Linked DNA regions of Macaca mulatta. The protein of the gene in region 1 purifies or fractionates together with the protein of each later gene. This does not show direct contact. Links are inferred from orthologs where the notes say so. Each region holds a gene or a part of one and is shown on either strand. Other genes may lie near its edges.

Evidence for each region.
Region 2: the proteins of NPLOC4 (region 1) and ASPSCR1 purify together in Homo sapiens (affinity purification with mass spectrometry; 3 studies listed by BioGRID and IntAct, with this or other methods). This does not show direct contact. The link is inferred for Macaca mulatta from reciprocal best matches to the Homo sapiens genes NPLOC4 and ASPSCR1.

What each region holds. Positions count from the first base shown.
Region 1 is NC_133421.1:91,341,169-91,345,668, forward strand, and holds the start of NPLOC4 (nuclear protein localization protein 4 homolog), read right to left. Parts: upstream 3,059-4,500; 5' UTR 2,877-3,058; coding exon 2,862-2,876; intron 1,927-2,861; exon of another isoform or gene 1,923-1,926; intron 1-1,922. Other genes in the region: TSPAN10 (tetraspanin-10), read left to right, coding at 3,343-3,350. UniProt on the Homo sapiens protein: The ternary complex containing UFD1, VCP and NPLOC4 binds ubiquitinated proteins and is necessary for the export of misfolded proteins from the ER to the cytoplasm, where they are degraded by the proteasome.
Region 2 is NC_133421.1:91,683,262-91,687,297, forward strand, and holds the end of ASPSCR1 (tether containing UBX domain for GLUT4), read left to right. Parts: coding exon of another isoform or gene 1-41; coding exon 42-104; intron 105-630; coding exon of another isoform or gene 631-720; coding exon 721-773; coding exon of another isoform or gene 774-836; intron 837-2,656; coding exon 2,657-3,382; 3' UTR 3,383-3,516; downstream 3,517-4,036. UniProt on the Homo sapiens protein: Tethering protein that sequesters GLUT4-containing vesicles in the cytoplasm in the absence of insulin. Modulates the amount of GLUT4 that is available at the cell surface. Enhances VCP methylation catalyzed by VCPKMT.

The DNA.
Region 1 (4,500 bases):
TCAAGACGGAGTCTTGCTCTGTCGCCCAGAGCTGGAGTGCAATGACATGATCTCAGTTCACTGCAACCTCCACCTGCCGAGTTCAAGCAATTCTCCTGCCTCAGCTTCCCAGGTAACTGGGATTATAGGCGCCCGCCACTGCATCCAGCTAATTTTTGCTTTTTTTTTTTTTTTTTTTTTTTTTACAGACAAGAGTCTCTTGTCACCCAGGCTGGAGTGGAGTGGTGTGATCTTGGCTTACTGTAACCTCCACCTCCCGGGTTCTAGTAATTCTCCTGCCTCAGCCTCCCGAGTGGCTGGGACTACAGGCACACGCTGCCATGCCCAGTTAACTTTCTGTATTTTTTTTTTTTAGTAGACACGAGGTTTCACCCTGTTGCCCAGGCTGGTCTCAAACTCCTGAGCTCAGGTAATCCACCTGCCTTGGCCTCACAAAGTGCTAGGATTACAAGCGTGAGCCACTATGCCCCAATTTTTGTATTTTTAGTAAAGACGTGGTTTCACCATGTTGGCCAGGCTGATCTCGAACTCCTGACCTCATGATACACCCGCCTCGGCCTCTCAAAGCACTGGGATTACAGGTGTGAGCCACTGCGCCCAGCCCAGAAACTTTTAAAGACCTTTTCTTAAATTCAAAATAACTTCTTAAATCAATTTCAAAAGAAGAGTGTTTTAATTCCTCTTCTTTTGAAGAAGAGATATTCAACAATCTGAGAAATTCAATGAGATCTAATGCTGTCAATGAGAGCCTAACCTTATATACGCTAGTGGGAAAAAAAAAATGGCCTTGTCTGAAACACCTTTCACTTGTCAATGGTTACTTTAACTCAGTTAAAACTACAAAGGTAGTTTGAAAGAAGGTTTGAGTGCTAATTCCTAACCTATTTCTAGGCAGAGTCACCAATGATTAACACTTTTTTTTTTTTTTTTTTTTTTTGAGACAGTCTCGCTCTGTCACCCAGGCTGGAGTCCAGGCGCGCAATCTGGGCTTGCTGCAACCTCCATCTCCCGGTTTGAGTGATTCCCCTCCCTCAGCCTCCAGAGTAGCTGGGATAACAGGCGCACGCCACCACACCCGGCTAATTTTGGTATTTTTAGTAGAGACAGTGTTTCACCATGTTGGTCAGGCTAGTCTTGAACTCCTGACCTCGTGATTCACCCGCCTGGGCCTCCCAAAGTGCTGGGATTACAGGCGTGAGCCACTGCGTGGCCACATTTTATTCTTCAAAGGAGTCAAAGGTTTCTTGGCCAGGCAAGGTAGCTCAGGGCTGTAATCCTAACAATTTGGGACCCCAAGGCAAGAGGATCCCTCGAGCTCAGAGACCAGCCTGTGCAACGTTTGACCAGGAGTCAACGTTTCCTAAGTTTCTCCTGGACCCTATATTCATTCCACTCATCTCCAGGTTGGGAAACACAGAGGCACCAGGAGGGCCCCTGAATAGAGAGCTGATGGGACCACCAGAGAAGAGCCTTGTGCGCAAGTGTTAGGTTATCCTGGAGACCCATCTGTCTGCGTGAGACGGAGTCTCATTCTGTCACCCAGGCTGGAGTCCAGTGACGCCACCTCGGCTCACCATGTTGGCCGGGCTGGTCTTGAACTCCTGACCTCAGGTGATCCACCCACCTCGGTCTCCCAAAGTGCTGGGATTACAGGTGTGAGTCACCGCGCTGGGCCTGGAGACCTATTCTTAACACCTGGCAAAACTGCAGAGACTGTTACAATGCTACAGTATGAACATGACTCCTCAGTCAATCCTGCTTCCCCCAGAAATCCCAAATCTTCCTTAATATTAACCAAAATGCTCCTGTCCAATGGTCAGGTTTTTTTCCCCATCACATTTACTTTTGGGGAGAAACTTCTCACAACTTAACGAGGGCCTGGTTTTCTCTGATTTGTCACTGATTTTTTTTACCTTAAGGGGGGGGGGTGAGTGACAATTTATTTATTTTTATTTTTTATTTTTTTGAGACACAGTCTCGCTGTATAGCCCAGGCTGGAGTGCAATGGAGGGATCTCAGCTCACTGCAACCTCCACCTCCCGGGTTCAAGCGATTCTCCTGCCTCAGCCTCCCAAGTAGCTGGGATTGCAGGCGTGCGCCATGACGCCCTGCTAATTTTTTGTATTTTTAGTATTGGTCTTGAACTCCTGACCTCAGGTGATCCACCCGCCTCGGCCTCCCAAAGTGCTGAGATGACAGGCGTGAGCCACTGCGCCCGGCCGACAATTTTAATTTCAGGTAAAAAGTGAAATCAACATCATTTACAACATTCCTCTTAAAGAGGAATTGTCAACTTTTCCTTCCAAGCAAGGAGCAAAGCCGGCAAGTTACTGTTTTCATTTTCCCAGGTCCTCTGGTGCTGAGGGAGCTCTGTAACGTCCCCGTCTGCAGAGCTGCTCTCTTCAGTGACTCATGACAAGGCACTTGCTGGGAAGTGGGAGAGCAGGAGGAGAGAATCAGAGGGAGATTAGGGTAAGAGGTGTCCCTGGCTCTGAGAGGGGCAGGACTGGCTGCGGGTCCCTGGAATTAGACCAGGAAGTCTCCTGGAGCCGGGAAACGCGAGGGGAAGGAGGGCGGTTTCTCGTCGCCACAGTCCATTCTCCCTGCAGAAAGGCTCGGCCTTTCCCTGCCCAGGGCAGAGAACCGGGGTCGCAAGTCCTCCGGGGACAGACAGGGACGGGAAGAAGCCGAGGGGGTGAAAGTCCCCGAGAGGGGCCCAGCCACTGCAGAGAAAGCCCCGGCGAAAGAAGGGAAAGGGGCCGAGTCGCGGGGCCGGCAGGCCCGCCTCCCCCACAGGCCGCGGCCGGCAAATCTGCTGCCTCATCCCGGCGTCCCCGCTCCCGCCCGACCGCCGCACTCACGATGCTCTCGGCCATGGCGGCCGCTCCTGCCTCCGGGCTGGAGCCCCGGGCCGCCGCCGCCTGCCGCCCCAAGGGCCTCGCAGACCCGGCCGCGGCCTCAGCCCCGGCCCCGGCCTCTCTACGCCGCCGCCACCGCCGCTCCAGCTTCGCCCGCCCGGCTCCACCAGCCGCCGACGTCCCCGTGCCTCGCTCAATACGCTCCCCGCGGGCGCGCGGCCGGGAAACCAGGTTCCGGCCCCACCAACTGCTCAACGCATGCGCAGAGCTGCGCCGCTGACCCTCCCCGCATCCTTGTAACTAGAGGAGGGGATTTTGGAAAGATGCCTCTGCGATGACTTACGCTCGTCCTCGGAAACCCAAGCGGTACCGAAAAGCCCAAAAAGGAGGCAAAGACGAGCATCCGAAATCTCACCCAAAAATAACTACTGCTGCGTATTGTAGCGTATTATAATTGGGGAAACAGCATTCCGAACTTCTCTCCATGCACAAGTAAGTAGAGAAACAATTTCAGGAAGGGAGGATCACACCTTCATGTTATTTTTTAAAGTATTTTTTAAATTTAACATAAGAAAAACAAGTGAGTTTAAACTGCATTTCAGGCCGGGCGCGGTGGCTCATGCCTGTAATCCCAGCATTTTAGGAGGCCAAGGTGGACGGATCACCAGAGGTCAAAAGTTGGAGACCAGCCTGGCCAAAATAGTGAAAACCCCGTCCCTACTCAAAACACAAGATTAGGCCATACGCGGTGGCTCACGCCTGTAATCCCAGCACTTTGGGAGGCCAAGGCAGGTGGATCACCTAAGGTCAGGAGTTCAAGACCAGCCTGACCAATATGGTGAAACCCCGTCTCTACTAAAAATACAAAAATTAACCGGGCGTGGTGGCACGTGCCTGTAGTCCCAGCTACTCAGGAGTCTGAGGCCGGACAATCTCTTGAAGCCGAGAGGCGGAGGTTGGAATGAGCCAAGTTGGTGCCACTGCACTCCAGCCTGGTCGACAGAGTGAGACTTCATCTCAAAAAAAACAAACAAACAAATAAACAAACAGAAACATCGCTTCACAGATTCTAAGGATTTTAGGAATTGGATGCCAGGAAACCGAAAGAACAAATATATACCTATTTCACAACATCACAATTACCGTGAGGGTTTTTTTAAACTATGTTAAATTATGTTAATTGAGGCCGGGCACGGTGGCTCACTTTGGGAGGCCGAGGAGGGAAGATCACAAGGTCAGGAGATCTAGACCATCCTGGCTAACACTGTGAAACCCCATCTCTACTGAAAAAATACAAAAAAAATTAGCCAGGCGTGGTGGCAGATGCCTGTAGTCCCAGCTACTCGGAAGGCTGAGGCAGAAGGGTGTGAACCCGTGGGGCAGAGCTTGCAGTGAGCCAAGATAGCGCCACTGCACTCCAGCCTGAGCAACAGAGCGAGACACCGTCTCAAAAAAAAAAAAAAGTTAATTGATTAAATTGTGTTAGTAATTGTATTAGTTTGCTAAGGGTGCCATTGTAACTGCCCAACAGGTTGTCCTTGCCCACTGCCTAGACTTTATCAAGACAGGGGAATTGCAATAAAGAGTTTAATTCACACAGAGCCGGCTTGTACGGGTTACTGAGGTTTTATTACTACTCAAA
Region 2 (4,036 bases), about 340 kb from region 1:
TGTGGAGGAAGAACTGTCTGTATGTTCTTTCTCCTCTGCAGTGGGGGACTTGCGAGACTTCGTGAGGAGCCACCTGGGGAACCCCGAGCTGTCGTTTTACCTGTGTAAGTTTTTTCTCCTAAGCCCACTCCTGCCTCCAGTGCTCGAGACCCTGGTGCTGTGGGCACACCGCCCGTCCCAGCTGGGGCTCTCGGCAGCTTCTCCATGGGAGCAGCATCTGTGGCCTCCCGCCCAGCTGCCTCCTGCAGCCTATGGTGTCTGTGTGGGGACCTAGCAGGGCCCTTCTCCCTGAGCCGGGCGGTGGGAGGGTGGGAGCCAGGCTTCCTGCCTTCTGTCTCAGCGCTCCGCTCCCCTCTGGAGCCCTGGGGCTCCCCCACCCCTGGGGCTCAGGCCACTCCAGCGAGAGGACTGTGGGAAGGGTCGGTGGACAGGAAGCGGCTGGCCTCCCTTGGAGCGTCTAGGTGGCAATGGGTTAGGCTGCCCCCCTCAAGCGGAGCTGGGCTGCATAGGTGGTGACCCCTGCAGTTGGGCCTGCCCTGCCCCAGCCCCTCCGAGCCCCCAGCTGGGGTTTCTGCAGCCGGAGTGTGGGCACAGGGTGTGATCATGAGGGGCTCTTCTGCCCCACGTGAGGTGTCACCCCCATCTTCGGGCCTGTCTTCTTTTGGGAGCGTGGATGGGGACCGCCGTGCTTCCTAACACATAGATGCCTTCTCTCCTCAGTCATCACCCCTCCAAAAACAGTCCTGGACGACCACACGCGGACCCTCTTTCAGGTACCCGAAGGCCTCTCTGGGGTGCTGCGGGGCGGGGCCCTCCAGGGAGGGCAGGACGCGAGGGTGAGGCCCGCAGTCAGGAAGGAGTGGCTTGGCAGGCGCTGGTGTGGGATAATAAAGCCTTTGAGAGCGGGTGGGTTCAGAGGGGGCCGTGCGCCTCTGAAGTTGTTTCTGACAGGTCTTTCCAGCCTCCTCTGCTTCCTGCCTGGCCCCGGGTGAGAAAGGGCCTGCTAGGCGGCCTGCCTGAACTGGGGCCGCTTGGAGGTCTCGGCCCCCCTGGGCTGCTGTGCTGGGGCCAAGGCAGCACCGGTGCCCGCCCAGGCGTCTGGGTGAGGAAGGGCCCGGCAGGCCTGGGAGCAGGGCTTGGGGAGCCCCAGAGGGACCAGGCCCTCAGCTGGAGGCGGCCGCCTGGGGCTTCAGCTGCCAAGTCTGTGTTCCTGCCCCTTCCCCCTTCCCGGCCTCTCCCGCTGGCCCCGCTGGCCCCTGCTAGGAATGCCCTGGTACCCATAGCTGTCCGCTGCTTCTGTGGGTCCCTGCCACCTCCCTGAGAGCTCCTGAGGGTGGGGCCAGAGTGAGGGTGCCCGGTCCCCAGCCCTGCTGGGCCACCCTCCAGAGCCAGAAGCAATGAATGTCCTGTCCTTGGCCTGTGGGAGAGCCGCCTGGGGCCTTCCGAAGCCCTCTGGCCTAATGGTTTCCTCTTCAAAGCCTCTTCAGATATTTTAATTAGCAACAGAGGCGTTTTTTTTTTTTTTAAGTGGCCACAGGCCTCTGCAGAGGCCTGGGTTGGAGGTGAGAAGCTTGCTTGCTGCCTGGGGCTGCAGCCACTTGCTGAGATGGGGCAAGAAGGCTGGCAGCTGCCAGGGGTGATCAGGAGCAGGACTGAGCGGGTTTCCCTGAGACGGAGGCAGGGGAGGGGTGAGACAGTCCCCTCTCAGCCCCTGAGCTGCCGGGCGGACTCTGGGCCTCCTTCCTCCGTCTCCACCCCCTCCCTTGCTGGCCAGCCAGTTGATAAACATTGAATTTGGAAGATGCCTTGGGGTGGAGGAGGACCAGTGTCCAGGCCTGCAGCCCACCCTCCCACTGGGAGGCCCCCTGAGAGCACTGGGGTGCTGCTGCGCTGTTCCTGGGGATACATGGCTTCCCCGCCAGCCACCATCTCCTGCCCTCCGTCAGCTTGGCTCTAGTCTGGGGGCCTCTCGGGGTGGTGTCCCTGGTGACATTCCTGCCTGCCTGCCGTCAGAGAGCTGGCGGGGCCGAGGGGGGGAAGCCTGCCTCCCTGACAGGCAAGCAGGCGGCGGGCGTGGAAGCACCGGCTTTCATGTCTGTCTCTGGCGGGTCCCTGCTCCGGCCCCTGCTTCTAAGAGGGACAGCGTGCGTGGGTGTGGGGGCTCGGGTAGCCCGGCAGCCCTCTGTGGCCCTGGCCCGGGAGAGCGCAGGTTTTCTGGGAGGGCTGGGAGGAGGCGGCCAGGATTGAGGACAGGGAAGTGTGAGCAGCGTGGGGGCTCCACTGTGGGGAACAAAGCCCCGACCGCTGCCTGAAACCTGCTTCCTGGCCCTGGGCATCAGGGCTGGCATGGTCACCTTTGTGTGCAGTCCGCATCCTCATGTCATAAGGAAGGTCATCCTGGACTAGGCCCACCTTTGATGTCACGGTCACCTCACTTATCTCTTCAAACTCTCTGCTGTTTGGGCTTCCTTCCGTTGGCTTTGGTGGGGCAAGCCTGGCTCCTAACACCCTCTGTTTGTTGGAGCTCTCAGGCTGCCTCGGGGGACCCTCTGCCAGGACACTGGCCACCCACTTGGGAAGGAGTGACTGGCACTTCCGGCCTGAGTGCCTGCTGGGCGCCCACCCCTAGCCAGGTCTGTCCTTCCTTTCCACCCAGGACAGCCCCGTCCTGTACTGCTGTGTTGCCCACTGCCAGGGCCTCTTGGGAACGACAGGCCCCCTTCCTCCCACCCACCAGGCCCTACCCCACCTGGACCCTCTGAAATGTTCCTCGTTGACAAATGGTCTTGCAGAAGGTGGGATGGCTCCTGCAGTCCCCGCTCCCGCTCTGTGGGTGGATGCCCTGTCTCTCCCTGCCCGGGCACCGTGGTGCCTTCTCCCTCCCGGGCACCATGGTGCCACCTCCCTCCCGGGCATCTTGGGCTGTAAGGGCTCCTCTCTTGGCTTCGTTTCCCCGAGGGTGGTGCCGTTCTCTTTGGAGGGGGCGACCGGGGCGCTGGGCCACGTGTGCATGCAGCCCCTGCAGAGTTGCTGCCCCATGGGGGTTGGCGTGGGCCTCCTTTCGGAAACTCTTCCTGGCAACACTGAGTGGGGTAAGGGGCTAGCAGCAGAGAGGTGGCCGGATTTGGGACCCCAGTGTCCTGGGCAGCAGCGAGGGAGGAGCCGGCCCCAGGCCCTCAGGCTGTGTCAGGGCAGGGCGGGTGCCCCCACTTCTCCCTGTCAGCCGAGGGAGCCAGGCGGGCAGCCTGAGACCTCCTGGGGCAGTGCTGGTGGGGAAAGGCCTCTCAGCCTGAGCCTCCCTCAAAGGCCCGTCCTGGGCCCTGCTCTGGGTGGCTGGGGGGATGGTGTGACCCACCTTCCTTTTCTAGCCCCAGCTTGGTGACCGGGTGGTTCCGTTCACCCTGGGTCGCTTACTGAGATGGCGCCTGGGAACCAGGGCAGAGAACACCCTTTCCACCAGTGGGGGACGGAGGTGACATGGACTCTGGGAGGCTCCTTTTTTGGGGTCCATCCAGAGGCCGAGCCTCTCCAAGCACGGGTCAGCCTCCATGCCGCCCAGTCTGCTGACCCTCCTCTCCACCATCCCCTCGTCCGAGCAGTGGGATCCCTCCTGAGTCAAGGCTGGGCACGAGCACGTGGGGACAGCCGGGTAGGCTGCCTGGCTCAGTGCTCCTTGCATAGAGGCGCAGACAGAGTCCGGGTGCCCCAGGCCCGGCCACCAAGCCTACTTCCCTCCGCTGGCGTTCCCGAGTCCTGCCTGCCCCTTTCTGTGCGTCCCACGGGGCAGTGCTGGGTGAGGGTCCTGTCCTGTGCGGCTGTGATGAACACCAGGTGCCTCTCTGCATCGGTGGCTTCTGAGGGAGCCCTCTTGCCCCTTGCAGGTGGGGCTGGCCAGGCCTCCTGTGCCCACAGCGGCCTCTGGGCAGTGTCCCCTGGGCTTCTGTGAGCAGTTGCAGCCTGGGTGTGAATCTTGGAGGCCCCGTGGTGATGAAGCATGCCGTCCGCCTGTGAGAGGCCGAGACCACGGCGGCTCCTG